Linked DNA regions of Saccharomyces cerevisiae S288C. The main gene of each other region encodes a partner of the protein of the gene in region 2 in a complex. Each region holds a gene or a part of one and is shown on either strand. Other genes may lie near its edges. A codon is read from its position in the direction of its gene.

Region 1 (17,973 bases), on a different chromosome or scaffold from region 2:
GATTCGTATAAGGAAAGGCAATATCGCTCTGAGGTTTCCAGTACAAAATTCTCTAATGTAGGGAAAGTTTCTTCTTGATCAATGAAAACAGTTGGAAGTCTTTGCATGGGGAAGCTTTGAAACTCGAAATCGAATTGGGAATTTTGAGCCTTAATGAAGAAATATTCCCATAAGCAACTCAGATATAACAGTAGTAATACCTGGCAATCTTTTCCTCCGTTGTACGAGAATGATATTTCCCCATTCAGTGGACTCCAACGTACAAAAATTTCACTTAGTAAGTATTTTCTTGTCAACCGTATCGCTTCTTGTGTACTTGCTATTATCTGAGATTTCTGGTCTATGTGTAAGTAAGAGTTTGTTATCTCATAACACATCTCAGCAGCCTTGCTCAACTGCATATTGTGCTCCCCTATTTGTTTATTACTTTTTGCAAATGTTGCCCTCTATACCGAGAAAGTAATATCAGTTTTTTCCACTCTCAGTCAACAAAATCTTTCGAAGATTTTTCGAGGTTCTTTCTATAGACGGATCCTTAGGTTCTTGCTAACCAACGTGTTGTATATGAAACCCATCTCCAAATTTTGAGCTCTTCCCATCCTTTTGTTTCCTCGGACTCAATGAATTTGAAATCTGCCGAACAAGCTAACTAAAAAATAGGAAAATTGGAACAGAAGTTAAATGCGAGCAGGAACGTTTATTAGCGCTTTTAAGTCTAACACATATATATAACACTATTTACAAGGTTTGAATAATTTTCTACCTGTCTCTAGTTAAATTTTTTTTGAGGCTTTTGAGATAATTTTCAACAATTAGTAAGTCATTATTCGTGTCTTTATTCCATAAAACACCTACATTCACTATTTTATTTGCGCTGGACGAAACTTCCTCATCTGCACTGAGCTGTTCTCCTGCTTCAAGAAAGACATCCTCATTTAAACTTCTCATTTCTTTGACAATCTTATCCAATATATCCACGGTTTCAATATTTCCGATGACACCATTAACGCTCATCTCGGTAACCACACGTCTCAAGTAGCGAATCTCCTGGAAGTTTTCCCACAATAGCTGAACCAGCAAATTGTAGAAATCAACATTACAAATTGTTAGGTACAGTGAAGCGTCCATGTTGTTTTTACATTCATTATAAACATAGGAGATCAATGTGTACTTTCTGTCTGCCGGGAAATCAAAGTCACCTAATCTAAGCGATTTGACTATAATATATGGTAAAGTCATTGCAAGCGGTTTCGGTAGTTCTGCCGGTTTATTTATACACGCACTTCTAATGTCTTCGAAAATGTTTGAAGATTCTGCATTCATCTTTAACTCTAGGTCTTTGTTCCTTTTCTTGTAAATGTCTAGTGATTGCTTTAGGTATCTTAAAAGATCGTAATCACTTTTAACAGCTTCCCTCAAGTAGTCAATGTGAGGTTCTAAAACCTGATCCAGTGTGGTTTGGTACCGAATCTTATTACCAATTTCTTGCATCACTTCCTCGCTAAATTTGACGTTGGAATGTGCAACTGGCTGCCTCAAAGCTTCCATTCCCGAGCCCTTGCGCAGATTAAGATTCAGCAATTCTCTGTTGCTTTTATTAATGCTATTATCTTCGTCAAATATCTTTTCCAGCAAAGTTCTTGTCTGCTCACTTATCGTTTTAGTGCTAATAGCAGAAGGTTCTGCCCGTTCGTAGACATAGTCATTGCCTGCTGTTTCCTTCAGGAATTCATGGTCCTTATTTGGAAGCTTCCTTTGAGCTCTTTGACTGTGGTTAAAAACAATTTTTTCTTTTTTTACACTAGTTCCCTCGGAGTTGTCCTGTAGCCCATTGTAATACTTGTCAATTATTTTGCTAGCATTAGTGTGCCTCATGTTTTCAACCCTTGCTCCAGCTTCGAATAGTTCTCCAAATACCTTACGTTCCTCTTCGAGAGCTTGTTCAAATGTCTTTTCATTTGAAACTCTTTCTACGTTGTGAGTTTTTCTATCTTTCAAATTGGCTTCATTCAGCAAGCATCTATGGATGCAATGTATGTATCTATAGTTACAGTTTTTTAATATAGATGATGTTCTGATCATTGTATGGCGTGTTGTACTCTTCCTTAGTTCCCTCTTCTTCCTTTACAATTATCTCTCAAGTATAGCAAGCGTTGTCACATCACAGTTTTCGGCCTTGTTCGCCTAATTACATTTTTCTGAATAAATACGTATGTATGCTGCGAGTACTAGATACTGTTGATAAATGGTAACATAAATACTCTAGATCGCAAAAGCGCATGGAAGTTGAGCAGTAATATAATTTTAGAGGAATATGGTTATTATACTCCCTGAGAATAAGTGCACATTGGATGGGAAAATTTCGTAAAAAAAACTCTTGTAAAGACAATTGTTTCCTTAATAGCTATTATATAATCCAATTTGGTTAGAGTTTTGTATGCCGATTATTAACGTTACCCAAAAATAATACTGTCATACATCGGCTTGTTCTTGTTCGGCTTGTTTAAAGAAAAATTGAACGTAATAAAGTTTTGATATAGCATCCCAAAATGTACACTTTTTATTTAATTCATCTACTCCATCGTTATTATTGTCCATGTCATTGTTTTCGCTGAATAATATTTCGTTTGGAGGTAGCTCAATAGCAATATTTTCAAAGGGTTCATACGCAATAACGAGAAATTTTTTTCCCTTCTGTTTGGTATCTGATAGCTCTAAACCAGATACAATCCTAATGAGAGGAGGGACTTTAGCCTTATCATCGCTATCGACACTATTTTCTTTGACTTCACTGCTATAATTTACCTGGATAGCCAAACCTACTGAACCGTTCTTCGGGTTTTTCACGGTAGCTATTTTACAAACAGGGATCGTACCGTTATTCTTTAAAGATTGCTTAGCTTCAATTATCTTTTGTTGTTGTCGGAAATCATGAGTTGTTTGGCCTTCTCTCCCTAGAGAACTTTTCTCTATACTGATACCACGCCTTAACACATTTAAACCATGTTTTTTACCACCCAAATGCCTTTCAACGCTGGACCACGACATGTGCATTGTATTACATAGTTTACAAACCAGTTTACCGGAATGATTCTTGTAAATGTACGGATTGGACCTTACTTGATCGTCCTTTTCATCTTGGAAAGTGTACGGGACATTTTCGCCTTTACTAAGTAATGATTCGACTTCTTTCCTTCGTTGTAAGTTAAACTGAGATTCTGAGGCTATACCACCACCTCCTTTCTTTGACCCAACGCCTTCTAAATAGTTCATTTTGAATGTATGGATGCGTTAAATGATTTGAATTTGCTGTTCCACCTGCCCTTCTTACATTAAGCTATTTGTGAGAGCCTTGCGTCTTTAGCAGATTTTTTTTTTTCATTTTTTTAGTGAGATGGGCGGTACATGTAATATTTCACCCGGTACAATGAAAATAGCAGAATGTAAATAATATTTGACTACAATAATTGAAAGGAAAACAAAATTGTTTGCCATACTATGTAAATTGATATTAATTTGGCACTTTTAAATTATTAAATTGCCTTCTACTTAGAGGGTTTTGGGATGTTCATCTGATGTAACGACATACACGCCCTTATCCTTCTCTTGGCATTTAAAGTTCTTGTTCTTCAAATCGTTCCATTTCTTATGCGGAATCGTCCAGCCACATTTTTGGGCTACCATAGCTGCAATGTCATCACAGTACCCCAAAAGAGATAAATCAAATTCTGCGTGCTTGACGGGATCACGATTAATCAGGACTTGGGGAACGTGGGAAGGAACCATGTTTACGATTTCAGACACTGGCGCTACTTTTAAACTTGTCCCAATGCAAATCAACAAATCACATTCTAAGATATCTTCGCGAATGCTCTTATGAAATTTATTTGGCAGTGCTTCGCCAAAGAATGTGATATCTGGTTTGAGAACGCCATATGAGTTAAGGATATATGGAGGCCTTTCCGACATTGAACCCTGTGATGCAGCAACACCTACTTTATTATTATATCCCTCTGGGAAATATTCTCTTCTTTTTTTGTAACAGTACGGGCATAGTGGAAGTTCGAGGTTTCTAATTTTATTAAATATCCTCTCACCGGGTAGGTTCCAATGGCAGGTAACGCAGGTGGCAGTAGCAAAAGAGCCATGGCACTGCACCAGTTTATCTGTGCTTATTCCCGCATAAGATTCCAAATTATCAATGTTTTGAGTATAATTTCTCAATAATTTCCCTTTCATTTGTAGCATCTTAATGAAACTATGCAATGGAGAATAAATTTTTTCTGGAGGTAAAACCATATTGGCAATATTATAGAAAACAGAGGGGTCGTGCATAAATATATTGTAATTGAAAACGTCTTGGGGATCATCGAGCCCCAAATGTTTGATCTTTGAATAGAACCCCTCAGAAGATCTGAAGTCCGGGATCCCTAATGAAGTTGAAACACCTGCACCAGTCAGGACCAAAATTTTTCTAGCGGTATGTAATTTTTGAATAAAATGATCAATAGTGAAAAAATTGGATAATCTTAATCTTGTACATAGAACTTTGTTAATTGCTCTTTGCAAATCTTTGATTAGACGAACTGTTTGCTTTTTTGCCAATGGGTCTTCAACATTTGTGACAGATATTGCACTTCCCAAATCTTGAACACGCTCTTGCGAGTTGATATGGACAATACTGTTGATGGTGCCGATAAGCGCTTGATCTTTAACTTCAAAGCCTAGCAACTTGATAAGATAGTAAATGTATAACGAGTTCAAATCCTCGGGGAGGTAAGTGTCTAAAAATTTGTGTGCACCATAGTATTTCAGAAACATTCGAGCATTGAGAGACTCTCGTTTAGTGAAGGAGGGACCATAGAAAATACCATTTGATGGGTTTTTACTGATTATGATTGGCCCCTTGGGCGTCTCTGGTTTCAAAACGTCATTGGACATTGACACTACTGAAGCTGCTGACACTGCCAAGGGATCCATGTCATTAGTTGGTTTGAGCTCCATCGATGCCACTTCTCCGAGCGCAGCTTTAGTGTGCCCAAGTGGATCTGTTGTGTTGGTTTCCCTCAAGGAATCCGGCTGTGCTACTTTTATCTTCTTATGTGAAGGTTCATCATTATTTATAATGTCATCGGGTTGTTTTCTGATCGCGTCTTTATCTTGTGTGGGGCTTACTGTATTTGAAACCTTATTTTCGCTAGTCTTTGATACGGCGTATTTCATATGTGGGATGGTCATCCAGCTTTAATGTGCCGATGAGGGAAAAATGGTTTGAATGTGTCTACCGAAGCGATGCCTAATTTCTTGAAATACGTGAGAATGGGCTTTACATCTCTTCACTAAATATATTTTTCTTGGGTGGTGAAAAAGACAAGTCTTTCAAACTATGCGACCTAGAAAAAAAATATTTTACCGCAACTGGCGGCCAAAGAGGACAAAGAAAAATTCCTCGTTTTTTCTCTGAGATGGGAAAGCAAGAATTTTGGCAAGAAAAGGTCCTGGCTGTCCTGGACCATGGTTGGAAGGAGTGCTAGATGTAGCTTGGAAAAGAAATGACCTATAACAATGTATCTTTTATGAGCATATGCGCATGCATATAAGCATATACATAAAAAATATATACATAAATTAAGTAAGAGTTAATTGACACATTGAGGAGTTGCAGGCTACAAGTAATACTGTAGAATTTCGTTCTGGGAGTGAGGCTCCAAGGGAGAAAGACTGCTAATAATCATTTCTTTCAAATTAGAGCTTCCGATCGGAACATCATCGCGATAGCGATACAGAAATAGCAGGCCATTTATATCATTCTTACCGAATTTTTCTTGGTAGAAATTCAGCCAATCGAAGCTATTGTTAGATATTTCGTTTAATGGGAAATTTTCAGAATACTCTTTTTCAAGGCTCTTCGTGACTACTTTCTTCAAAATTGGATCAAAGGGGGTGTCGTTTCTTGTGGCATGTAACAAAACAATGGCCATACTACCAAATAAACCGCTCGTGGTGCCAAATCTCTTAGCGAATTTGTTTAGAGAAGCAAAGCACAAAGCTAACTTTCCAATTCTGTAGTTAAATTCAAAGTCCAAAATATAATCCCTTTCGTCTTCTCTGACTTGCATGGAGTAGTTATTATAAAATTCGGTAGCGAAGTCCTCCATTGGAGTGGAGGTTTCAATCAACTTTTCGCCGAATACATCGTTATCTTGATCACTCGGATAAGCAGCAACACTCTTGGCTTCAGTTTCTTTCCGTTTGTTCATAGCGGCTGCTTCCTTCTTAGCTTTTTTCTTTTGGCTGCTACTATTTTGGCCATTATTTTGGATTTCATCTGAATTTTCATCTAAAGAATCGGACTTTCTTTTTAAGCGATCATCATGCATTTGAAAGTAAAGCTTTGATGCTTCCTTCATTGCGCGAACATACATGGGTTTGGTATAAAGTGCCTTTCCCCATTCTAACATCTCCAGATAGGCTCTTGGCGTACCTTTTCTCATACAGTATGAATGGAAATCCAACTGGTCATCTTCGAATTGTTTATAAAACTTTGGAATAGCGTTGAATCTTTTCAGCGCCAAACCTTTATATTTGCGAACAAGCCATTGGTTTTCTTTGATATCATTCGCAATTTGTTCGCTTTTATCACTTTCAACCTCTTTTTTTAGCGATGCTAAATCGTCTAATTTCTTTTTTCTATCCAGGTATAGTCTATAATAGGCTTCTGCCTGTTCTACGATGAACCAAGAAGCTTCCACAAGGTGTAAGTCCTTAATACCATTAACAGAATCATCGTTTTTGGTGAAAAGGGACGCGACTTCCACCGCCTTGTCGATATTGTTAGCCCTTAAAAAGTACTTAACCGTTTTACAGTTGATAAATCTATCCTGCAAATCAAGTTGCCTACCTTCCTCCAAAATTCCAGCCGCTGTGTCCATTAGGCCTAAGTGCTTCAGGATACGTGCCTTGAGGATGTAAAACTCAACTAAAGTTGGGGTGTGGTCAAGGGCAGCATCAATATATTCTTGGGCTTTCGGAAAATCCTTAAGGAAAAGGAAATGTTGAGACAAGTAATAATTGGTCCAAATAAAAGGAATTGGATCCTGCGTAGGATCTAATCCGGACAAATAATCAAGGACAATTTTCTCCAATAGTGGTGAAACCTTGGACTTCCTTCTTTGGTAAAGGGGTTTCACGTTGGAAAAAGTTGCTGGAACACCGCGCTCCAATTGAGGCAAAACATATTCTCTCAATTTTTTGCTGAGCTCTTCTTTGTCTTGAAGGAAAGTTAATGGAATAAATTTGGGTGGTTCGCATCTTGGATAAAATTGTTCAAGTTTTCCATACAAAGCCTTCTTCAATTTATTGTCACCTTGGATTCCCAAGGATACTTCCAGTAATTTGTAGTACTTAAAATTATCTGGATTTCTCTTGATCAGAGTTCTATAAACAATGGACGCGTCTTTCAATTGACCCAATTTCATGTAAATAGTTGCTTTTCTCTCTAATAAACCAAATTTATCAAAGACGCATGGCTCGATATCATTCAAATGTTTCAATACATTTTGTAACTTGTCTTGGTTATCACTGGCAGCTTTATACATAATGTCGTTTTTGTACATTAAACACTCGCTGTGTTCATATTTCTCGGAATCAGATATTTTTCCCTCAGCGAGTTTTTCAAACTGAGATAAAGTGTTAATAGCTTGTTGCCTCTCACCGTTCACATCTTGTGCCACAGCCAATGATGTCCAGTTGGCACGGTAACCAAGGAATGCTTCCCAATATTTTTTCCTGGACACTAAAGCATTTTTGAAATCGCCAATTTGTGATTGCAAAGTTGCTAAGTCTCTATATATTTGCTTGTTAGTGGACCCATTGTTCAAAGCTGCCGTGAACCATTTAATAGATTCTTTGTACTCTTTGGTGTTTCTCATGTAGATACCTAATACATGACAGCAGATTGGTGATGCTGAAGCGCCTTCAATTTTTCTGATGGCATTAGCCACGTAGGAAGCAGCGTCATCTTTCTCACCTACAGAATATAAATCAAGACCCTTTAAAGCCAAGGAATCAACGTGACTACCGTCTTTTTTCAAAATTGCGTCTAGCAGCTTGAGAGATTTTTTGTATTGCTTCCCTTCGTATAGTTTCAATGCCTCGAGGAACTGGTCATTTTCTTTTTTCAAAGCTATTTTAGCTGCTGGCTTGGGCTTAGTACTTCTTTTCCTAGACATACTTCGTTAGGGTCAATCGCCTTCCTCAATGGTATTTGTCTTAAACAAGGAATCTGAACATCACTTTTTAAAAAGGTTTGACTTTTGAGTGTAGAAACTTTTTCATTTTCGCTCTTTCCTCTTTACTCTGTATTATGTTCTGTTTCGACGCGGAGCAGGGTAAAAAGTGCATACGCAACCCAGCGACCTCATTAGCAAGGTCATGCAATTTGGTGGCACATTTCAGGCCTATCATGTCTCCAGTTGTACAATAATGAAAATTTAGCAGTATTCCCCCTTTAAAAGATTAAATAGCGATTATATAATCAACTCAAAGAGTTTCCTTAGCAGTCCTCTCTCAATTTTGAATTGTCGAATGTCATGGCGTTCTCGAAGCACTTTGCATACTTCAAGGAGTGGACAGAAAGAGTCTGATAATAATAATTTTTTATTGAATCCGAAGATATTCTATAATCAAATTTAACTATTATTCTATGTAAAATCTATAATTGGTTTATATGGTATACGAACGAGAATGGCGTAGGGACATGAAAGATGGTAGAATGACTAAATGAAAGCTAGAGGAAGAGCGGCAGCGAGCCACACCAATTTTCCTACTGCTTCAATGTTTGCGCTGCCTTCCATGATTAATGAAATGCTGGCAGATGATGTAATGGCTCCTGTTGATACAGCAGCAATGGAATGCTTTGATGTGATAAATGCGTTAGTAGTGGTGGTCGTGAAGGAATTTGTATAATGAATGGCACTGGATTGACTAGAATAATCTTTAGTTGAGGTACCAGAAACACTTTCTAGAGAGGCAGCTGCAGAAATATTGTCCTCAATACTGTGATTCATTACGGAAGCAGTTGATTGAACGTTACTTATAGTAGACGTTGATGCAGGAGAAGTCATAAATGCAGATTGTTTGGTGATGGTAGTGTCTTTGGGACCCGAGTAATTTGGGTTCCCAACCTCAGACTGAATGTTAATGTTTGAAGTTACTAGTGTTGTATGGCGAGTCGAGTCAGTAACTCTACTGACAATATCGGTGACGCTTGCGTGAGCTGATGCATAAGTTCTATCTAATGTGATTGGATGAGCTGAGGAAGATGAGCCGACTAAACCATTTTCACTGGCTAGAGTCGTTGGGTCTGCTGAAGTTATGCTAGGATATGAAGATTTAGTTGATTGGAATGCGTCAACTACAGAAACAGAACTTTGGGTCTTCGAATCATTGCTGCTAACTGGCATATTAGGCTTGATTATACTTGTTGCGCTTGACCTACTCGAGGAAGCCGAATCAACTGGGGTTAAAGTTACAATCGAAGAACTTGAAGTGGCCGAAATTCCTTGCTGTCTAGAAAGGCTTAGACTTTCCGACGCAATTGGAATGCCCGTGGAAGTTGATCCGGTCGAAGCTGTTGGATATACTGGGCTATTCGAGACAGCGAAAGTGCTTGGGTCTACTTGAGATCTTTGAATGGATGAGACGCTCAAATCAGCTGAACCAGTTGAGGAAACCATATCAGTTAGACTAGATGATACTGTTTGGGTATCTTGGCTGGTTGAAGTGGTTGAAACCCTTAGAATGATTGTGTCAGAGAAAGTAGCTAGATCTGTTGAAGTAGTTGGACCACTTGGTCTGGTTGAATAAACTGAGGTTGAACTGACAATAAAACTGGTTGGTTCAGATGAAGTTGAACTAACTACAGAACTAGCTGGATCAATTGAGGCGCTACTGATGATAGTAGTTGCACCGCTTGAACTAACGATGGAGCTAACTGGATCAATTGAAGTAGTTTGAGCCGCTAAAGTAGCTGAACCGTTTGAATTAGCAGAAATAGTCACAGTGCTTGAGCTAGTTGGGTAAGATGAAGTTAAACTGACAACAGAACTAGCCGGATCAACTGGAGCGGAACTGACTACAGAACTAGTTGGATCAACTGAAGTAGTTTGAACGGTCGAGGTAGTTGAGTCAGCTGAAGTAGTTGGGTCTGCTGAAGTTGAACTGATAACAGAAGTGGTTGGGTCAACTGAAGTAGCAACGTCACTTGAGCTAGTTTGATCAACTGAGGTTGAAATGACTACAGAAGTAGTTGGGTCAACTAAAGTAGTCACAGCGCTTGAACTAGTTGGATCTGCTGAAGTAGCCACGTCACTTGAGCTAGTTGGATCTGTTGATGTGGTTACCTCGTCAGAGCTTCTTGTACGATACATACCAGCAACACTTGATGAGGCATGTGGACCAACTGTTGTAGTAGACTCAATTAAAGATGTAGAGTCCGTGGAAGTGGAAATCACGACAGAGATATTTAGACTTGTTGAAGTAGTAATATCGTTTGAACTGACGAGAGAAGTAGTTGGTTCAATTGAAGTGGTTTGAACGGTTGAAGTAATCACATCGCTCGAGCTAGTTGGGTCAATTGAAGTGGAACTAACTGCAAAAGTAGTGGAATTGGCCAAAGTGGAATTGCCGATGTTGTTACTTGGACCAGCTGAAGTGGTTTGAACGGTCGAGGTAGTTGAGTCAGCTGAAGTAGTTGGGTCTGCTGAAGTTGAACTGATAACAGAAGTAGTTGGGTCAACTGAAGTAGCAACGTCACTTGAGCTAGTTAGATCTGTTGATGTGGTTACCTCGTCAGAGCTTCTTGTACGATACATAGCCGCTAAACTTGATGAGGCGTGTGGATCATCCGATGTAGTATACTCAATTGAAGATGTAGAGTCTGTGGAAGTAGAAATGGTAACAGAGCTACTTGGATCAGCTGGGCTAGTTTGAACGGCCGAAGTAGTTGAATCAGCTGGAGTAGTTGGGTTAATTGAAGTAGTCACAGCATTTGAACTAGTTGGGTCTGCTGAACTTGAACTGATAACAGAGCTACTTAGATCAGCTGAACTTGAACTGACTACGGAAGTAGTTGGATCAGCTGAAGTAGTTTGAACGGTCGAGGTAGTTGGGTCAGCTGAAGTAGTTGGGTCAACTGAAGTAGTTGGATCAACTGAAGTAGAACTGACTATAGAACTAGTTGGGTCAACTGAAGTAGTTGGATCAACAGAAGTAGTTTGAACGGTCGAGGTAGTTGGATCAGCTGAAGTATTTGGGTCAACTGAAGTAGTTGGGTCAACTGAAGTAGTCACAGCGCTTGAACTAGTTGGGTCTTCTGAACTTGAACTTACTACTTAAGTGGTTGGATCAACAGAAGTAGTTTGAATGGTTGAACTGGTTACATCGCTTGAACTACTAGAGTCACTTGAAGTGAAACTGCTGAAAGGACTAGTTGAAGCTGCTAATGTGGTGACATCAGTAGATGTTCTTGAACGATAAATATCGGCTACGCTTGATGAAGTATGTGAGTCAACGGAAGTAGTAAAATCAATGGATGTAGTGGAAGAGCTTTTCACAGTAGATGACGTAGTAGTGGAAGTTTTCGTAGAGGATGAAGTAGTAGAGGATGAAGTAGTAGAGGATGAAGTAGTAGAGGATGAAGTAGTAGAGGATGAAGTAGTAGAGGATGAAGTAGTAGAGGATGAAGTAGTAGAGGATGAAGTAGTAGAGGATGAAGTAGTAGAGGATGAAGTAGTAGAGGATGAAGTAGTAGAGGATGAAGTAGTAGTGGATGAAGTAGTAGTGGATGAAGTAGTAGTGGATGAAGTAGTAATGGATGAAGTAGTAATGGATGAAGACGAGGCTTTTGTACAAGTGCCATCATTGTTTCCCTTGCACTGGTAGGTCCAATAAAATCCAGGGAAATCCGTTTGTGAGTGGCCTTGATTGTCATAATTGTTACAACCTGTCGATAAATCGAAGGTGGTTGTCCCCCATTGCCAAGTTTGCCAGTACTGAGCAGCATCACCTTGTAGATATTCGAACTGGATTTGGAAATTTGGCATCCAAACTGTGCAACCGTCAGAAGAAGGGTAAGCATAAACCTGAAAAGTGGATGTAAAATCTGTTGGATCACTGATTAGGTATGTCTTCTCATTTTTGCCGTAAAGTTGTACGGTGCTTGAGGGACCGTTGACACCAATAATCTTTAAAGACCATAAATATTTCAAAGGGATATCTTTTACGGCTTTGACATGAATAGTAATCTGGTATGTGTTATCCTTGACCCATGATACGGAAGTAACATCCATATCATAATGTAGTATATTCTGTTGGCTCATGTGCCAGTTGAAATCCAAATTTGGACAACCATTGATAGCAACGCTTTCGTCTCTTTTGCTTAGATCAAATGAAGGGCTCACCTTGTCATCAATTCTATCAGCAGTCGCTGAATTTGTGAGCAAGGCCGCAAATAGGAGGCAAAATGATATTAGTAGTTTTCTTATGAATGATGTGGATACCTATTTTACACTTTTGCAACAAGGGGAGGAAAATTGCCAAGACCATCATGACATTGGAGGAAGTGATTTGCTTCTCTTAAATATAAAATAATTAAACGATCATGGAGATGCAGCGAACTAATGTGAAAAATTTTTCTTTCCAGTAGTATCGGTTATTCTGTAAGCATAGAATCGGGTATTAGTGGCTTGTTCCGAGCTTTTTTTCTTTGCCAATAAGAAAACAAGTAAAATGCAACGTGCAAATGCTGATCTGATCTCGCCTGGGCCAGTTTTATCGTCATGTGCGCGTGTAGGCACGAAAAAAAAGAAAAGACCGCTACCTCTCCTTCTAAAATGACAGGAGGAGAATATAAGGTTTGGCAGCCCCTTGAAAGAGCCGCAGGAACCAAAAAAAAAAGAAGGAAAGTTTATTTTTTTCTTTTTCCAAAAGACTTTTTAAGATGTTTGTCAGCAAGATAATACAGGACCTACACGACTATCAGTCACAGCCAGAGAAACGTTTGTCGTATGATGGCAAAATATTTTTCCCACAACTTTGAAATTATTTTCAAATATGGCAGAACAGTTTAACATTTGGTTTCAAGAGGTAGCACAAGTTCTTGAATAGTATTTGTTCGCGTTAAGATGGAAGCAGGCCAAATGCCCCAATAATCTAATAACCGTATTTTCTATGCTAAAGGAGGAACGAACACTCGGTCTTGTACAGGCAGCTCTAAAAGGAAAATTTCCATCCCCCCAGGCCAAGAAAATCAGAATCATATGGCCCCCTTCCATTCTAACGGAATAGTATATCAAAGAAATAATGTTTACGTAAGCCATAGACAAGCGATATAATCTTTTTTATCCTTAAACTAGGTGCTTCATTAAGAAAGAAGAAGAAAAGAAGAAAGTACGACAAAGACTCCCCGCTGGACAATAAACGGGGGCGGCAGGTGTTAATTCCGAATTGAAATTTAAATTTGACATAAGCAAAGTTTAAAGTTTTTTTTTTCCAGTTCTTTTTTCCCATCGTTTTTTTTTCTAGAAGCCGGGTTTTTCACCGTCAAAAAATTTCCTAAAAAAGATCTGTCAATCATTAAGTTTTGCTTTTTCGGCTTTTAAGCCATGCTTTCAGGCAAAAATTAAGATTTCTTCGTAAAGATCGGAGCCTTACGCCCAAGAAGCAACTGGCCGTAAAATTTTTTCTTCGATCGGGTGGCAAATGGAACAGAAGATCATGAGTAGAAGGAAAAGTAAACAAAGAATTGCGTCGGTCAACCGGTTGTTGCTGCGTGCTTCAGCGGGTGATAAATAAAAGATTTCCTATCTGAGTAATCGATGACACAAGCGGTCTGCGCTCGGTCGCTTCCAAGCCTTAACAAAGTTTTTACTTTATGGTTTTTAATAAATAAATAAAAAGAAACGTGGATTTGGATAGCAGAAAGCCTCGAAGATCATTTTATCAATGAAATTTTATGGTTAACACTTTCAAGACTCCGATTTTCTCTGCTACGTGAAATTTTAGGTTGCGAAAAGAATACTACCGGGAATACTAGGAGTGTGGAAGAAAAGAAATGGAAAAGAAAAGGAGAAGTGGTCATTCTTCACATCTCATTGTCTTCCTCCTGTAAAGATTTTAGCTTTTTTATAAATTAAGATTAAGATTGTAGCGTGATGTTCTGTTACTGTCATTTTTGATTGGCCAATGACTGATTATAACAGAAGACCAGTTTTCTATGTATTATTGTCCGACAAGTCAGGAACCTCTATCTTCTCAGAGCCCATTCTGGATACTCTGTTTTGTAGCACCACTTTTTCTTTTCGGTTCCTTCTTCAGTCTCAGTTGATTCGTATAGATAGGCATGTAACCACAGATCAAGATCATTGGGGCCAGGATCAGTATACAAATCAGATTCACAAATAGAACATTTTTCTTGCCTTAATACCTCACCGTACCCGCCATTACTATGGAACCAACTTTTAGCAGGTTTTCTTTTCCCTATTTCGTCTAGCTTAGTAATAACTATATCGAAGTCAGCCTGGCCGCCTTTTCCGAGATTGTTACCCCATACTTCATCATTGGAATAAATAGGATCGTTAGCAATTGGGTGGCCTAAGTACTGTAAATGTACTCTAATTTGATGTGATCGCCCGGTAAGCGGTTTGCACTTTACAATACTCGTTTTACCGTCGTAGCTGATTCTGTTAAAAACAGTTTTTGCATGTTTGGCTCCTTTCTCGTCCATTTGACAAACTGCATTAAGAGCAAGCCTTGGCTCGATCAGTTTTAGAGGTTTTTCAACAATTACTTCCGTTTCTGGAAATTCTCCAACTACCTTGGCCACGTATTCCTTAGTGACTTCTCGAGCTTTTAGTTGATCGCCGATATTATCGGCTCCCTTCGGAGTTTTTGCCAAAAACATTAATCCACTTGTAAGCCTATCTAACCTATTACATGGGTTCACAACAAATCCGAGATTATTTTGAAGCATTTTCGTAATTGTATTGAACCGATATCGGCCAGTTGGGTGAACAGGTATACCGCTCGGTTTATCAATAACCATTATGTTATCATCTTCAAAAATAACTTTGATAGGCCTGGAAGTGACTGGAGGTTCATGTCTATGTACCTGATGCGTAATCAGGTCACCATTGCGAATTACAGTAGATAAGTCCGCAGTTTCATCGTTTATATGAACGTCCCCGTTTTCGATTGTTCTTTTATAATATTCAGATTCACGATCTCGAAATTCAGATATAAAGACATCAACCAATTTTTTATCTCTCCAACGCTCTTTGCAAAAGGTCCTGTACGTAAAATGGTAGGGCTTGATTTTCCTTAGAGGGCCATCGATGACAATTTCATACTCTGGATCTAGTTGTCTATGTTTCTCTTTTTTGCTGCCTATCGTTCGTGATTGAAAAGTAGATTTATTAATCAAATCTGGCGATTTTTTTGATTGAGTTCGCTTTATTTTTTTTTTCTTTTGAATTTCCCTCTCTCTTTCAACCTCATTTTGCAAATGTTCATCAAACTCATTTGAGGTTGCATTACCTGCAAAAGCAAGACCTGCAGATAATGCATTCCTTTTGAGTTGTCGAGCCATTATTACTGGCACTGTAAACAAATTTCTTAACCTATTATTTCTTTGCATAAGTTTCCTATTCCATTATACGAGCACTCATCCATTTTCAAAAGTTTTTTATGAACTTTTTCTTAACTCGGTCTTTTGTTCTCTAATGGTTCGCCGCCAGACAGAAAAAAAGCTTACTTATCGAGGAATCACATTGCTTCAATGAATAAATTCTATAATGCATATACTACCTAACATATATAAGAGAAGTGAGCGTCATTCATGTCGGCTACTTGTCAATTTGTATTACGTTCCTTACTTTCCATTTTCAAACATCGCGATACAAAAACTTTATAATGGTCCATTTCTTAAGAAGGCTATCAAATCTATGCCGCTACTATCACTACTATCATTATCGTTCTGCGCCTCAATTATTGGATCAGGAGTCGTACCTGGTATTGTGGGCTTGACCAGATAATTTTCAGATGCACTAGCATCTGAATAGCGTAAATTCTTATCCTCTTCAATGCTATTCTCATCATCGTTTGTGACAATATTGCTTGAAAAGAAGCTGGATTTGACCATACTGTTAGTTGAGACGTCCTGATGTTTATCGTGACTTTTATTTTGGTTTAATGCAAATTTCAACCCGGGTAGAGAAAAATGGTCGTTATTGTACCGTATTTTCAACAATCTGTTTAACTCATCAAGATCTATTCCGCCAAGCATTGGAATATGATGAATGATCCTCCAAAACAAGGGCACTTCAACCTCTTCGGCCGTGATGTTATTAAGCATTGCCTGTAGTTCAAGTGAATTTGATGGAAGGGAGCGATCGCTACTATTCGTTTTAGTCTCATCAGATTCTGTGCGTTTATTATCGTTTGAATCTTTGGCTGAATAGTAGTTTTCCCAGTATTCAAAATCGTCACAATTGTCATAAAAACTAAAGTGTAGTTTTAGTTCAAACAATTGTTTAAAGAAGCGTTCAACAAACCACAGTATACGCTTCAGAGGGTTTGTAGAATATTTCCAGCATTTTCTTTTCTTCCACTTACCACGATAATACCAACCTCTTTTCCCCCAATTGCTGTGACAAAACTTCAGAATTTCCTTTTCACCAAGCTCTCCTTTCAGAATATATTTTTCAATGAGATATTTTGATTCTGTTTTTGCCCATGAATAGTTCCAAGGTTTTTCCTTGAACAGGTAAACAATGACGTCGACGAGACAACTTAATGGTCGAACGCAAGTGTCAATGTATGTCACCCACATGGTAGGCCCATGCTTTATTTCATGATTGTATTGCAACGCATCTGCAATGATGGGGAAAAGCCATATCCCAATATACGACAGTGGATAAATGAATATTGCCCTTAGATTCTTTTGAATTTGTGCCCTACGTTTTTTCATTTGTTTGTAGGTTTGGGCTTGGAAATGCTGTTGTACGTTGGTGAAACTTGAATTTTCGCATCTGTCTGCATTATTATTCACTCTCTCCTGTGAAAATTGTTGAGACGGAGTAAATGCTTCATTAGAAAGTGTAGGAATATTATCGGCTGGATTAGTATTATTGTTATCAACGTTATTTTTAATATTATTACTATTATTATTATTATTGTTGTTGTTGTTGTTATTGTTATTATTATTGTTATTATTATTATTGTTATTATTATTATTGTTATTATTATTATTGCTATTATTGTTATCGTTATCGTTATCGTTATTGTTGTTGTTGTCGTCGTCGTCGTTGTTACTGTTGTTGTTGATGATGCCTCCTTTTTCCTTAATGTTACTAGTTATGTCGCTGTTATCGTTCTTATTATCATACATTGCTAAAGGAGATTCTAGAGAATTTTGGCAAGAGAAAGTCTGATGTCCCAGCATTGAACTTTTTCTTGTATCCAGTCCTTCATTTTCAACACTAAAAGTAACTTTATGCTCCTTTTGCTTGGATACTAGTTCCGAAGGATTGAGTGTGATGTCATTTTCACAATCAAAAGGATTATTTCTTTCCAAATCTGGCTGTTCAGACATTGCATATTTGGACATATCGAGTGGTTTAGCACTGTTATAGTCAAGTAAGCGAACTCCACCACTTGCCGAGACATTCTCATCACTACCTGTATTTGTTTTTCTGAATAGTGTAGGTATCTCATTCGAACTCTCACCAAAATTGAAAGTTCCATTACTACTACCTGAATCGTCTGTTTCCTCATTCGGATCTATGAACGAAATGGTGAAAAAATTCTTTAAATTTCTCAAAAGATGTAGCAATGGCAATTTAAAATAGGATCTGAAATACCATTTGGCTTTTCCCCAGTGACCGAGCCCAAATAATTTTTTCTTTTCTTTCTCTT
Region 2 (9,891 bases):
GGCACTGCTGGGGAACGTGAGAATGAGAATGAAAGCAACGTTAAGCCTGAAAACCAATTTAAGGAAGACGAGGTTGATATGTCAGATTCGGATATAAATGGGTCTAATTCACCAAGTTTCTGCCTCTTGGATATTCAAGGCAATACCTGCACGTTATACATTTATTTATACGTTAATGGAGAAGTGAAGGTCGATAAAGTGGTTTATGAAAAGGAATAGGGTAGCCATTTTCATTTTTATGCATTTCTATGATGTCTAAACATTAGATGCATTCGTGAACTTTTTCTTGCAGACGAGATAGATGTAATTAAGATATCCTATCTGCCGGATATTACATATATAAAAAAAGAAAGCTTGCATGCACAGTTTCCTTACTATTCATGCTCACACAATTCTACCGAATTAGCACTGCAGTGTTTAGAACCGTGCTCAAAAAGAGCTAACAGAGCTTGTGAAGAAGCCTGGATGAAAATATACTACGTTTATATAGGTTGATTTAATTATACAATGATATCATTTACGCCTTGCTTAATGATATCCTCTAGTAGATCGCTTTCTAGATCGTCTTCTAGTTTTTCCTCATTCTCTTTCAAACGGCGATGGGTGAAGTTGCTTATCTGCAACTCCTCTAATTTTAAAACCTTCTTCATGGCGTATGCATCTTCACCATCCTGATAGTAGCTTTTCTCGATACTCAACACCTCAAACGCCAATGTGTCCCTGTACAAGTGTAAAGCTGCTCTATTAGATTGTCTCACATGCAAGGAAACATATTCCGCTTGATGAACTTCTCTCAACGCAAATAAAGCTTGTCTCATTAAGTTTTCGGCAATCCCCATCCTTCTATAGGTTCTCATGACACTTAAGGAAGTAATATGACCATTTGGTGGCTCGTTTTGCTGGTCGGGGTCGTCGTTCATCTTCACGAGAACGTATCCAACTAATTTTTCGCCCGGAGCCAAGTATGTTGGATCCAACTTGATTGTCCTGCCGTCATTGGTCCCATCTAAGGTCAATTCCAATTTGTCGTTCTCATCTTGTTCATCACTATCTTCACAGTCCAAAGTGGTGGTAGTAGCAACAAACGAAGCCTCTGGCCACGAGAGAATATGATACATATAATATTTCATCATATAATTTTCGGGTAGGTTATGAAGGTTGGCATTTTGCATACATATAATGTCATTGATTGTCGCTCTGCGAATATTAATAGGCATGGTTGACGAAGTTTTATTTTGGAGCTTGATCGTATGTATTTAGGTTTCCCTTTTCACTTGGCAATTACTCGTTGCTGACAAAAGGTTTCAAACTTTTCAGACGGTGCTTTTTTTTTCTGTTCAAAAAACCAATTGACGCGAGAAAGTGAGGATTGAGCCTAGAGATCAATAAAGACAAATTAGCATTGGATGCAATACTACTAAAGCAAGCGCTTTAAGAGAAAATATTTGTCCTGGAAGTCTCATGGAGATTATACTTTATGAATTCTTTATCTCCGGGCAGAAGGCACTTCAGCGTATCATTTGTTCCATGATATTTTCTGAATAAACTTCAGAATTATAATACACAGTATTTACACATCTAATTTTTGACTACAGTATAATATTCAAGCTTCTTGATTTACCTGCAGTTATGCTTAAATTCACATTTGAATTCTTTAGTATCCGTTTAGCTAGTTAGTACCTTTGCACGGAAATGTATTAATTAGGAGTATATTGAGAAATAGCCGCCGACAAAAAGGAAGTCTCATAAAAGTGTCTAACAGACAATTAGCGCAATAAGAAGAAAGAAAACGGATTGAAGTTGAGTCGAGAATAATTATGGCACCCAGAAAACGCTTTAGGCTACTCGAATTAGGGTCACCAACACATTCTAAAAGGAAAGTTCAAAAACCTCTTCAAGAGAAGACCCCAAACTTGCGAGTTTCTCCACTTGCTTTTAAAATTGGTAAAGAAATCAAGAATAAGGAAATCAGAAAAACAAAAAAAACAGAATCAGAAAATATATTCAATTCGAAACATGTCGATTTAAGACTAGAAAGCCCACATCCAGGATTAAATTTTGTAAGTGATGCTCAACAGTACTCAAAGGCTGGAGATGTTCGATATTTGAAAAATAAATCAAGCAATACCTTGAAAAACGAAAGACAAACAATAGAGCGCCCCTCATTTGATAATTCCTTAAGGTTCGAGGACATTGAGCAGCCTCCAAAATCTACTTCAACGCCGGTTCTTTCTCAATCTTCTCAAATAAATGTAGAAAGAGAAGCACCCATGTTTCCAGTTCCTTACTATATTGCTCCTTCTCCTATGTATAATTTTAGCCCGTATCAAAATTTCGTTGGAAACCCAACGTTCCTGACGCCAAGTCATAACCCAAACCTAAACTATGCCATTCCCATCCAACGGCCGGAGTTGCTTTATCCGAATGTTAACGTATACGATTCGCCATTGTTTAAGAAAACAAGACTGCCCCATCAGACCAAAAGTCTAGATAAAGAAAAAAATTACCAATATCTTCCAATATATCCGGTCTCGATTTCTAATAACGGAGATTTTGTTGGCCAAGAGACACCAAGGGCAGCACCAAAGTTAAGTAAAAAGAGACTTTCAAATACATTGGATGTTAATTGTTCCGATTATGAGTCTAGTGGACAAAATGCAACTTATAATGATAGTGAGTCTTCCCTTAATTAAAAAGATTAGTTTACTTTTTCTGTAGAATGTTAATTAGTTTATTGCATAGAAAATCTTTAATACTGAATGACAAAATTTCCACAATTTTTTTTAAAAAAATTATCGACAACTGCAGGACTCGAACCTGCGCGGGCAAAGCCCAAAAGATTTCTAATCTTTCGCCTTAACCACTCGGCCAAGTTGCCACTTATTATATAAGTCGTAAGCATAATATCAGGATCTTATGCCTTAGTATAAGTCAATTGAAATTGCAATCCTTGTATGTTTTATATTAAATTTTGGGTGAATAATTGGATAATTGTTTGAAATCCATTGTTGAAGAAAGGCTATAATATTCGTACACAGAGTATACTAGAAGTTCTTCTCGAGGGTCTTGGAATCCACAAAAAGGCGTCGATAAATCTCCATAACTATATTACTTTATCCTATTACATTATCAATTCTTGCTTTTAGCTTCTATTGTATTTGATAAAATATTTCGGCTTCTTTTATGTGTATGCGATTGCGTATTACTAAATATAAATTTATATTTCCTGCGACCATTTGTCCGTCAGAAAAGGCTCTCAAAAAAACAACACTACCCTTTTACCGGAAATCACAAACTAAATGTTAAAATAAGAATTTAACATCATCCATTGATTATGAATATTGAGTGAATGATTTAATGATTGTTGCGATTTCCTTGTTGGTGAAGGCTATGATATCAGCTATGCAGAATATACTAGTAGTTATCCACCAGAACATAAGAATCCTCAAAATGTAATTAAAAATCCACTATCGTCTATCAACCAATAATTATACTATCAATATATTATCATATACGGTGTTAGATGATGAAATAAGTTATGAGAAGCTGTCATCGAAGTTAGAGGAAGCTGAAGTGCAAGGATTGATAATGTAATAAGATAATGAAACATATAAAACGGAATGAGGAATAATCGTAATATTAGGTTGTAGAAATATAGATTCCATTTTGAGGATTCCTAAATCCTCGAGGAGAACTTCTAGTATATTGTGTATACCTAATATAATAGCCTTTATCAAAAATGGAATCCCAACAATTATCTCAAAATTCACCTAATTCTCAGAATCTGTATTTCGACATAAGGTTATTATGATTATTTCTCCTTCCGTTCTATATTTTTCATTACCCTATTACATTGTCAATCCTTGCATTTCTGCTTTCATTAGAATTGATGACTGTTTCTCAATGTTTATGCCATCTTCTTACAACTTATTTGACAATAAACTAGTAGCGTGAGTACTAATAAACGGATGATATTTTGAAGTTTCATAACAACAATCAAAATTTGATGTATTTCATTAAAAATTGATTGATTTTGGGTAATGCAAGGATGACGTATTCGATCATGATTTTCAGATCGACCAGTAAGTTCCGGTCCTATAGTGTAGTGGTTATCACTTTCGGTTTTGATCCGGACAACCCCGGTTCGAATCCGGGTAGGACCTTTTTTTGCTAAAATGAACTTGTGTCACAAATTCCGTTCGAAATGGCGGTCCTTTTCCAATAAGTTTTCTTTTTATGGCATTTTTAGCAATTAGAGCTTACTTAACATAATGAATTATCCAAGTCAATAAAAGCAGAAATACGAAAAATTCCCTAAAAAAAGATGCCAAACTCTCATGGTAATGTATTGAATAATATCTCTTTAAATAGCAAGCAAAATCCCAGATCGATTTCTAAAAGTTGCCCAAATGATAAAGATGCAAGGCAGAAAAGCTTCAAAACGATATCAGCCCAAGCACTAGTACGCGTGCAAGGAGCTGGATATAAGCTCGGTGATGTGAAATTAAAGGATGCTGAAGTCAAAGAAAAGAATAGCCTCAAAAAATACGATTGTAAAAATGCAACTCAAGAAAAGAAAGAACAAGAGCAAGTATTTGAAAAAACTGTTGCAAAGGGAAGCGTGCAAAAATATATCACGAAAACTTCAAAGACAAATAGTTTGTTTATAGGAAATCTGAAATCAACTGTCACTGAAGAAATGCTAAGGAAGATATTCAAAAGGTATCAATCTTTTGAATCTGCTAAAGTGTGTCGTGATTTTCTCACCAAAAAATCATTGGGTTATGGCTATTTGAATTTCAAGGATAAAAACGATGCAGAATCTGCAAGGAAAGAATTTAATTATACGGTTTTTTTTGGTCAAGAAGTTAAAATAATGCCATCTATGAAAAATACATTATTTAGAAAAAACATCGGAACAAATGTTTTTTTCTCTAACTTACCACTGGAAAATCCCCAACTGACCACAAGATCATTTTATCTAATAATGATCGAGTACGGAAATGTACTGTCATGTCTTCTAGAAAGAAGAAAAAACATTGGGTTCGTTTATTTCGATAACGATATTTCTGCTAGAAATGTAATCAAAAAATACAATAACCAAGAATTTTTTGGAAATAAAATTATATGTGGATTGCATTTTGACAAAGAAGTAAGAACTAGACCTGAATTTACAAAAAGAAAAAAAATGATTGGCTCCGACATAGTTATCGAAGACGAACTATTGGCTAGCAATAATTTATCAGATAATGCTCGTTCGAAAACAATATTAGTCAAAAATTTACCATCTGACACAACACAAGAAGAGGTCTTGGATTACTTCAGCACTATTGGCCCCATAAAATCTGTATTCATCTCTGAAAAGCAGGCGAACACACCACATAAAGCGTTCGTCACATATAAAAATGAAGAAGAATCTAAAAAGGCACAGAAATGTTTGAATAAAACAATTTTTAAAAACCATACCATTTGGGTTGGTCCTGGTAAAGATAAGCCTGTTCATAATCAAATTGGAACGAACAAGAAAACAAAGGTTTATCTAAAAAATTTAAGCTTCAATTGCAATAAGGAGTTTATTTCTCAACTATGTTTACAAGAAAAAATAAGATTCAGTGAAATTAAGATCACAAACTATAACTCATTAAATTGGACATTTTGTGGACATGTTGAGTGTTTTTCTCGTAGTGATGCTGAGAGATTATTTAATATTTTGGATAGGAGACTAATTGGAAGTAGTTTGGTTGAGGCATCATGGTCAAAGAATAATGATAATATACTAAATGAGATAGACTATGACGATGGTAACAACAATGAAAATTATAAGAAATTAATCAACATTAGTTCCATGATGCGTTTCCGCACACAAGAGTTATCAGCTCATCAAAAGGGATTAACGTCACAGTTTCAACAAGTAGTTTCCCCATTCTCATCATATTCAAATTCCTACACAAACATGAACTCTCTCGTAGCTACGCCGATGAAACCTCATCCAGCATTTAATTTAATTACAAATACTGTTGACGAAAAACTGCATCAGCCTAAGAGAACTAAACAGGAGAATGCAGAAATACTTGAGTCCTTAAAAAAAATTATAAACAGAAATTTACAACGTATAAGTATTTCTGGTTTAAATAAAGAAGAAAATCTGCGCAGCATTTCCGAGTTTATTTTTGACGTATTTTGGGAGCATGACTCAGAAAGGCTATCGCACTTTTTATTAATGACAAATACTTCATTAGAATCACAGAAAATTCTACAAAAACAAGTCACTAGAGCTGCTGAAAGCCTCGGATTTACAGTTTGATTCCTTTTAAAGGAAGAAGGCAGGTTCATCAATATGCAATTTTCGGTACAAAAGTACGTATGTCTATAAAAATAGAGTATTGTTTTCTTTGCTATCTTAATCTACCCAGAATTATTCCAAGGAGTTTCAGCCTCGATTTTTTTTTAGTTTAATGGCGTATAGTCCAGTTTCAAGAAATACTCCACCTACTAAGTGAGTACTTAAGAAGTGGTTCCTCGAAGCTTTCCATTGTGATTATATAACTACAAACATTTCGTAAACATAGCTGAATAAGGAACCCATCCTCAACTTCATAACTCTAAAAAAAAATTCTATATATAGGAACGAGACATATGGAGGACGATAATTTAAGAAACTCTAACGTAGTTTGCAGGGAATATTCCTTCTTTTCCGTTAGTCCTGCCTGTCCACCAATCATTTTGAGAATCTGATTTTTTTAAGATAGTAATAACATCACCTTTTTTGAAAGCCAAGTCGCCTGGTTGTTCTCCAGCAAAATTGTAGAGAGCAACAGCCGTTGGTGTCGCCGAATTTGTAGCAGTGGATTCATTACCTAACCCTGTCTTCGACATTTTATGTGATAAATCATCGACATTGCTCATATTGCTGGGGTGAGTTGGGCCATGACCAAGGCTATAACCCCTTTCTCTACCATAACCACGCCTATTTCCTCGGGTATTATCATAATCCCTACCGGAATGGTTGGGACGGGAGTATTCAGTATCTCTATCATACAAATCATCTTCCCATCGGGTATTCGCACGCGGCTTAGTACCCCTATCTATCTGTGGGCCTCTATTGCGGCTGCTGTTTCTATTTGGAGATCTTCCGTAATCATAATCTTCATCTTCGCTATCAAAATCTCCATACCCGCGACCACGTCCGTAACCATCATCATCATAATCATCATCATAACGACTGCGTGACCCCAGCGACATTCCTCTTCTTCTTGATGATCTTGTGTTTGGACGTGTTGAGGATTCATCAGTAGAATCAAAGGAATCTGGAATATCGTCGTAATAATGGCTTGTGTTGTCGCTGTATTGACCGTCATCATAAAAATCATCACCGCTAGCGTTGTCATCATGGTCGTGGCGTGTAAAGTTGAACGCTCTTGATTCCAAGATACGGAGTAGGGGGTCTGCTGCTGGTGGAACTTTTACTCTACCTGACAAAATCATCTTTGATGTACAGTTATCGCCGTAAAACTTTCGATTAGCTTCCCTTCTCTCCAAGATGGCTGAACCTTCCACAGACACACCGGCAAATAAACCTTTGCTTTTGGAATAGGCAAAAACTGCCGAGACACCACCTGTGGATGCAGAAGCTGCAGCTTCTGCACTTCTTCCAAGAGGACCTGCGGAAACTGACACATTACCACCTAAAGTAATTGTACCAAATTCAGAAAAGGACCTCACTGCCTCTTCCGAATTTAAAATAAAAACAAAATCTGTCAATTCAACGCCGACCATACCACCTGCACCAGCACCTGCCATAGCGATAGCAGAGGGAGCCGACCATGTACCGTCTTTTAACCTGGCCACAATCACCCCAGAACCTGCTCTCCCTGAAAACAAGAAGCCAGCCTTTAAAACCGTGATAATTGCTAGACCTTTAGCTCTTTTTAGCACATATGGTGGAATAACTTGGTCTGCTCCAAATACTTGATTTGGTTTAACAAAACTCCTTAGAACTTTCGCGGCCTTCCTGTAGTTAAAACATTCGAAATAAATCAATCATAAAGTTGTTAGTACATTACTTTTGAAAACTCATGCCCCATAAGCAATGGACACAGACTAGAGAGCTATCTTGAACATTTTAGCTGCATCCATAAGTTTAGAGGAGGGGCAGCAGGAAGCATATATATGAACATACTTGGTCTCGCTTTTCAAGCTTCGAGGAATTGGATTATTGATACCCATTTTTGGATTTTGGATTTGATATTACCACTACTCTTGAAAATTTTACTGTGAAGTGTAAGATAGTTTCATGTTATAGATAATGTTAAGAACAGGGTCTAGTTAGGGGGTAGTCAACTTTAATTCCCTTCAGGTCGTTTTCGGTCAGCGTCGGAACATGTAAAAATGTTGTAGGTGGCATACAAACAGGAAATATAAAACAGACAACAGAAGATATTTGCTCTCAAAAAAACAAATAAAAATGGCTTGGTCTGGTGGTAAGGATATAGTGGATCAGATATTTGATGCTGGGTATTGGCTCGTCTCGAAAAGCGCTGTCTTGAGCGATGAGATCAAGAACCACGTCGAAAAATCAATTGAATCCATATCTGGAAAGATATCCAACAAGGAGACTCCTCGACTACAGGAAAACGACAGTAACAGATCTAAAGTATATAAAACTTTGAGGATCGGGCTCCAGGATCATTGGAAGCTAGGCTTGGGAATTTCTGCCACCTCCCTGTGCTTATACCTTGGGTATAGGACCTTTTTTAAACTGCCACCTAATTTACCTGAAGCAGAATCTCAAGTGGTATTAATACTGGGCGATATGAATGATCCTATCATAAGGAATCAAGTGATGGATTTATATCGCAGACGGTTTACAGTATATATTTGTACTGAAAATGCAGACGTCTATAAGAAGCACGAAGAAGATCAGGATTTCATATATTACATTGATCCCACCTGCGAAAAAGACTTCGAGGGTTTTTTTGTTGATGTACCAAGGCTAGCATCCATATTGTTTATGCCAAGGTTATCATATCATCCATCCGGAGTAATTTCATGTGACTCATTGGAATCTGAAATTCATTCAAGTATATTTGTGTATTATCAAGCATTATTAAGCATTATACCCCATTTGAAGAGAAAAACCCAACTAATTATGTTCAATCCATCTTTGACTGCGGACCTGAACTTAGTCCATCATAGTACAGAAATTATAACGTCTGGAATAATCGACTCACTATTTAAAATTTTCAAGGAATATCAAAGGTTAAATGTTTCCACAATCAAGCTTGGAATCCTGCAGATTGGGTCACAACCATCGAACTATAAATTTTTGAGAATGGCCGGTTCAGACATTCACGAGGCCCTACATTATCCAGTTTACAAAATGATAATGAGTGCGAATGGGTATAAACTAAGACAACTGCTAAGTTGGTTAACGACTTTGGGAGGTTACAATAGTGTGTATTATTGCGGCCGTTTTAGTTATTTAGTCTCATGGCCATTTGCTTCACTTATATTCAACCATCACACACGTCTTTCCCTGAAACGCTTGAGAGGAAGATTAGCCAAGGTATATAGCAGCATTATTTCGTTTTTTTGCCGGTCATCTTCTAAATCATCCAAATAATATCCTTGATTAGATAACAATTGCTTATCTACGTATATATATACATAGCACAATCTCGAAAATATAATACTAATAACAAAATAAGTATTTAAAGAAGGGTTGATGAAGTCCTAGAAGTACCAGACCTGATGAAATTCTTGCGCATAACGTCGCCATCTGCTAATTTAATTGGGATTTCAAATTATCCAATTGCTTCAATACAGCAGATTTAGCGGTTCCACCAGTAGCATCTCGTCTTTCAACGCTTTGTTCAAAGTTAAAAGTTTCAA

Evidence for each region.
Region 1: the proteins of ARD1 (region 2) and NAT1 are in contact, whole or in part, in a crystal structure (PDB 4HNY), measured with the Saccharomyces cerevisiae proteins. Residues at the interface, in NP_011877.1 of Saccharomyces cerevisiae: Pro2 (codon at 1,214), Ile3 (codon at 1,211), Asn4 (codon at 1,208), Ile5 (codon at 1,205), Arg6 (codon at 1,202), Arg7 (codon at 1,199), Ile10 (codon at 1,190), Asn11 (codon at 1,187), Ile13 (codon at 1,181), Ile14 (codon at 1,178), Gln17 (codon at 1,169), Ala19 (codon at 1,163), Asn20 (codon at 1,160), Pro25 (codon at 1,145), Asn27 (codon at 1,139), Tyr28 (codon at 1,136), Met30 (codon at 1,130), Lys31 (codon at 1,127), Met34 (codon at 1,118), Tyr35 (codon at 1,115), Ile37 (codon at 1,109), Leu38 (codon at 1,106), Ser39 (codon at 1,103), Trp40 (codon at 1,100), Pro41 (codon at 1,097), Glu42 (codon at 1,094), Phe45 (codon at 1,085), Leu52 (codon at 1,064), Asp53 (codon at 1,061), Glu55 (codon at 1,055); in NP_010244.1 of Saccharomyces cerevisiae: Tyr199 (codon at 7,637), Glu203 (codon at 7,625), Phe238 (codon at 7,520), Asp239 (codon at 7,517), Lys240 (codon at 7,514), Phe241 (codon at 7,511), Gly242 (codon at 7,508), Glu245 (codon at 7,499), Ile262 (codon at 7,448), Arg265 (codon at 7,439), Thr266 (codon at 7,436), Lys269 (codon at 7,427), Arg270 (codon at 7,424), Asn271 (codon at 7,421), Pro272 (codon at 7,418), Asp273 (codon at 7,415), Asn274 (codon at 7,412), Phe275 (codon at 7,409), Lys276 (codon at 7,406), Leu285 (codon at 7,379), Ile287 (codon at 7,373), Leu293 (codon at 7,355), Ala296 (codon at 7,346), Leu297 (codon at 7,343), Lys300 (codon at 7,334), Leu301 (codon at 7,331), Gln303 (codon at 7,325), Phe304 (codon at 7,322), Tyr305 (codon at 7,319), Pro306 (codon at 7,316).

What each region holds. Positions count from the first base shown.
Region 1 is NC_001136.10:373,208-391,180, forward strand, and holds NAT1 (peptide alpha-N-acetyltransferase complex A subunit NAT1), read right to left. Parts: upstream 8,232-17,973; coding exon 5,667-8,231; downstream 1-5,666. Other genes in the region: FAD1 (FMN adenylyltransferase), read right to left, coding at 1-401; MTF2 (Mtf2p), read right to left, coding at 760-2,082; spliceosome assembly protein PRP11, read right to left, coding at 2,473-3,273; NAD-dependent histone deacetylase SIR2, read right to left, coding at 3,550-5,238; pheromone-regulated protein PRM7, read right to left, coding at 8,778-10,874; BSC1 (Bsc1p), read right to left, coding at 11,394-12,380; pseudouridine synthase PUS9, read right to left, coding at 14,306-15,694; GPR1 (Gpr1p), read right to left, coding at 15,965-17,973. UniProt on the Saccharomyces cerevisiae protein: Non-catalytic component of the NatA N-terminal acetyltransferase, which catalyzes acetylation of proteins beginning with Met-Ser, Met-Gly and Met-Ala.
Region 2 is NC_001140.6:130,230-140,120, forward strand, and holds ARD1 (peptide alpha-N-acetyltransferase complex A subunit ARD1), read right to left. Parts: upstream 1,218-9,891; coding exon 501-1,217; downstream 1-500. Other genes in the region: retromer subunit VPS29, read left to right, coding at 1-219; SPO13 (Spo13p), read left to right, coding at 1,818-2,693; MIP6 (Mip6p), read left to right, coding at 4,325-6,304; YSC84 (Ysc84p), read right to left, coding at 6,652-8,011, 8,180-8,226; YSC83 (Ysc83p), read left to right, coding at 8,465-9,622; argininosuccinate lyase ARG4, read right to left, coding at 9,782-9,891. UniProt on the Saccharomyces cerevisiae protein: Catalytic component of the NatA N-terminal acetyltransferase, which catalyzes acetylation of proteins beginning with Met-Ser, Met-Gly and Met-Ala.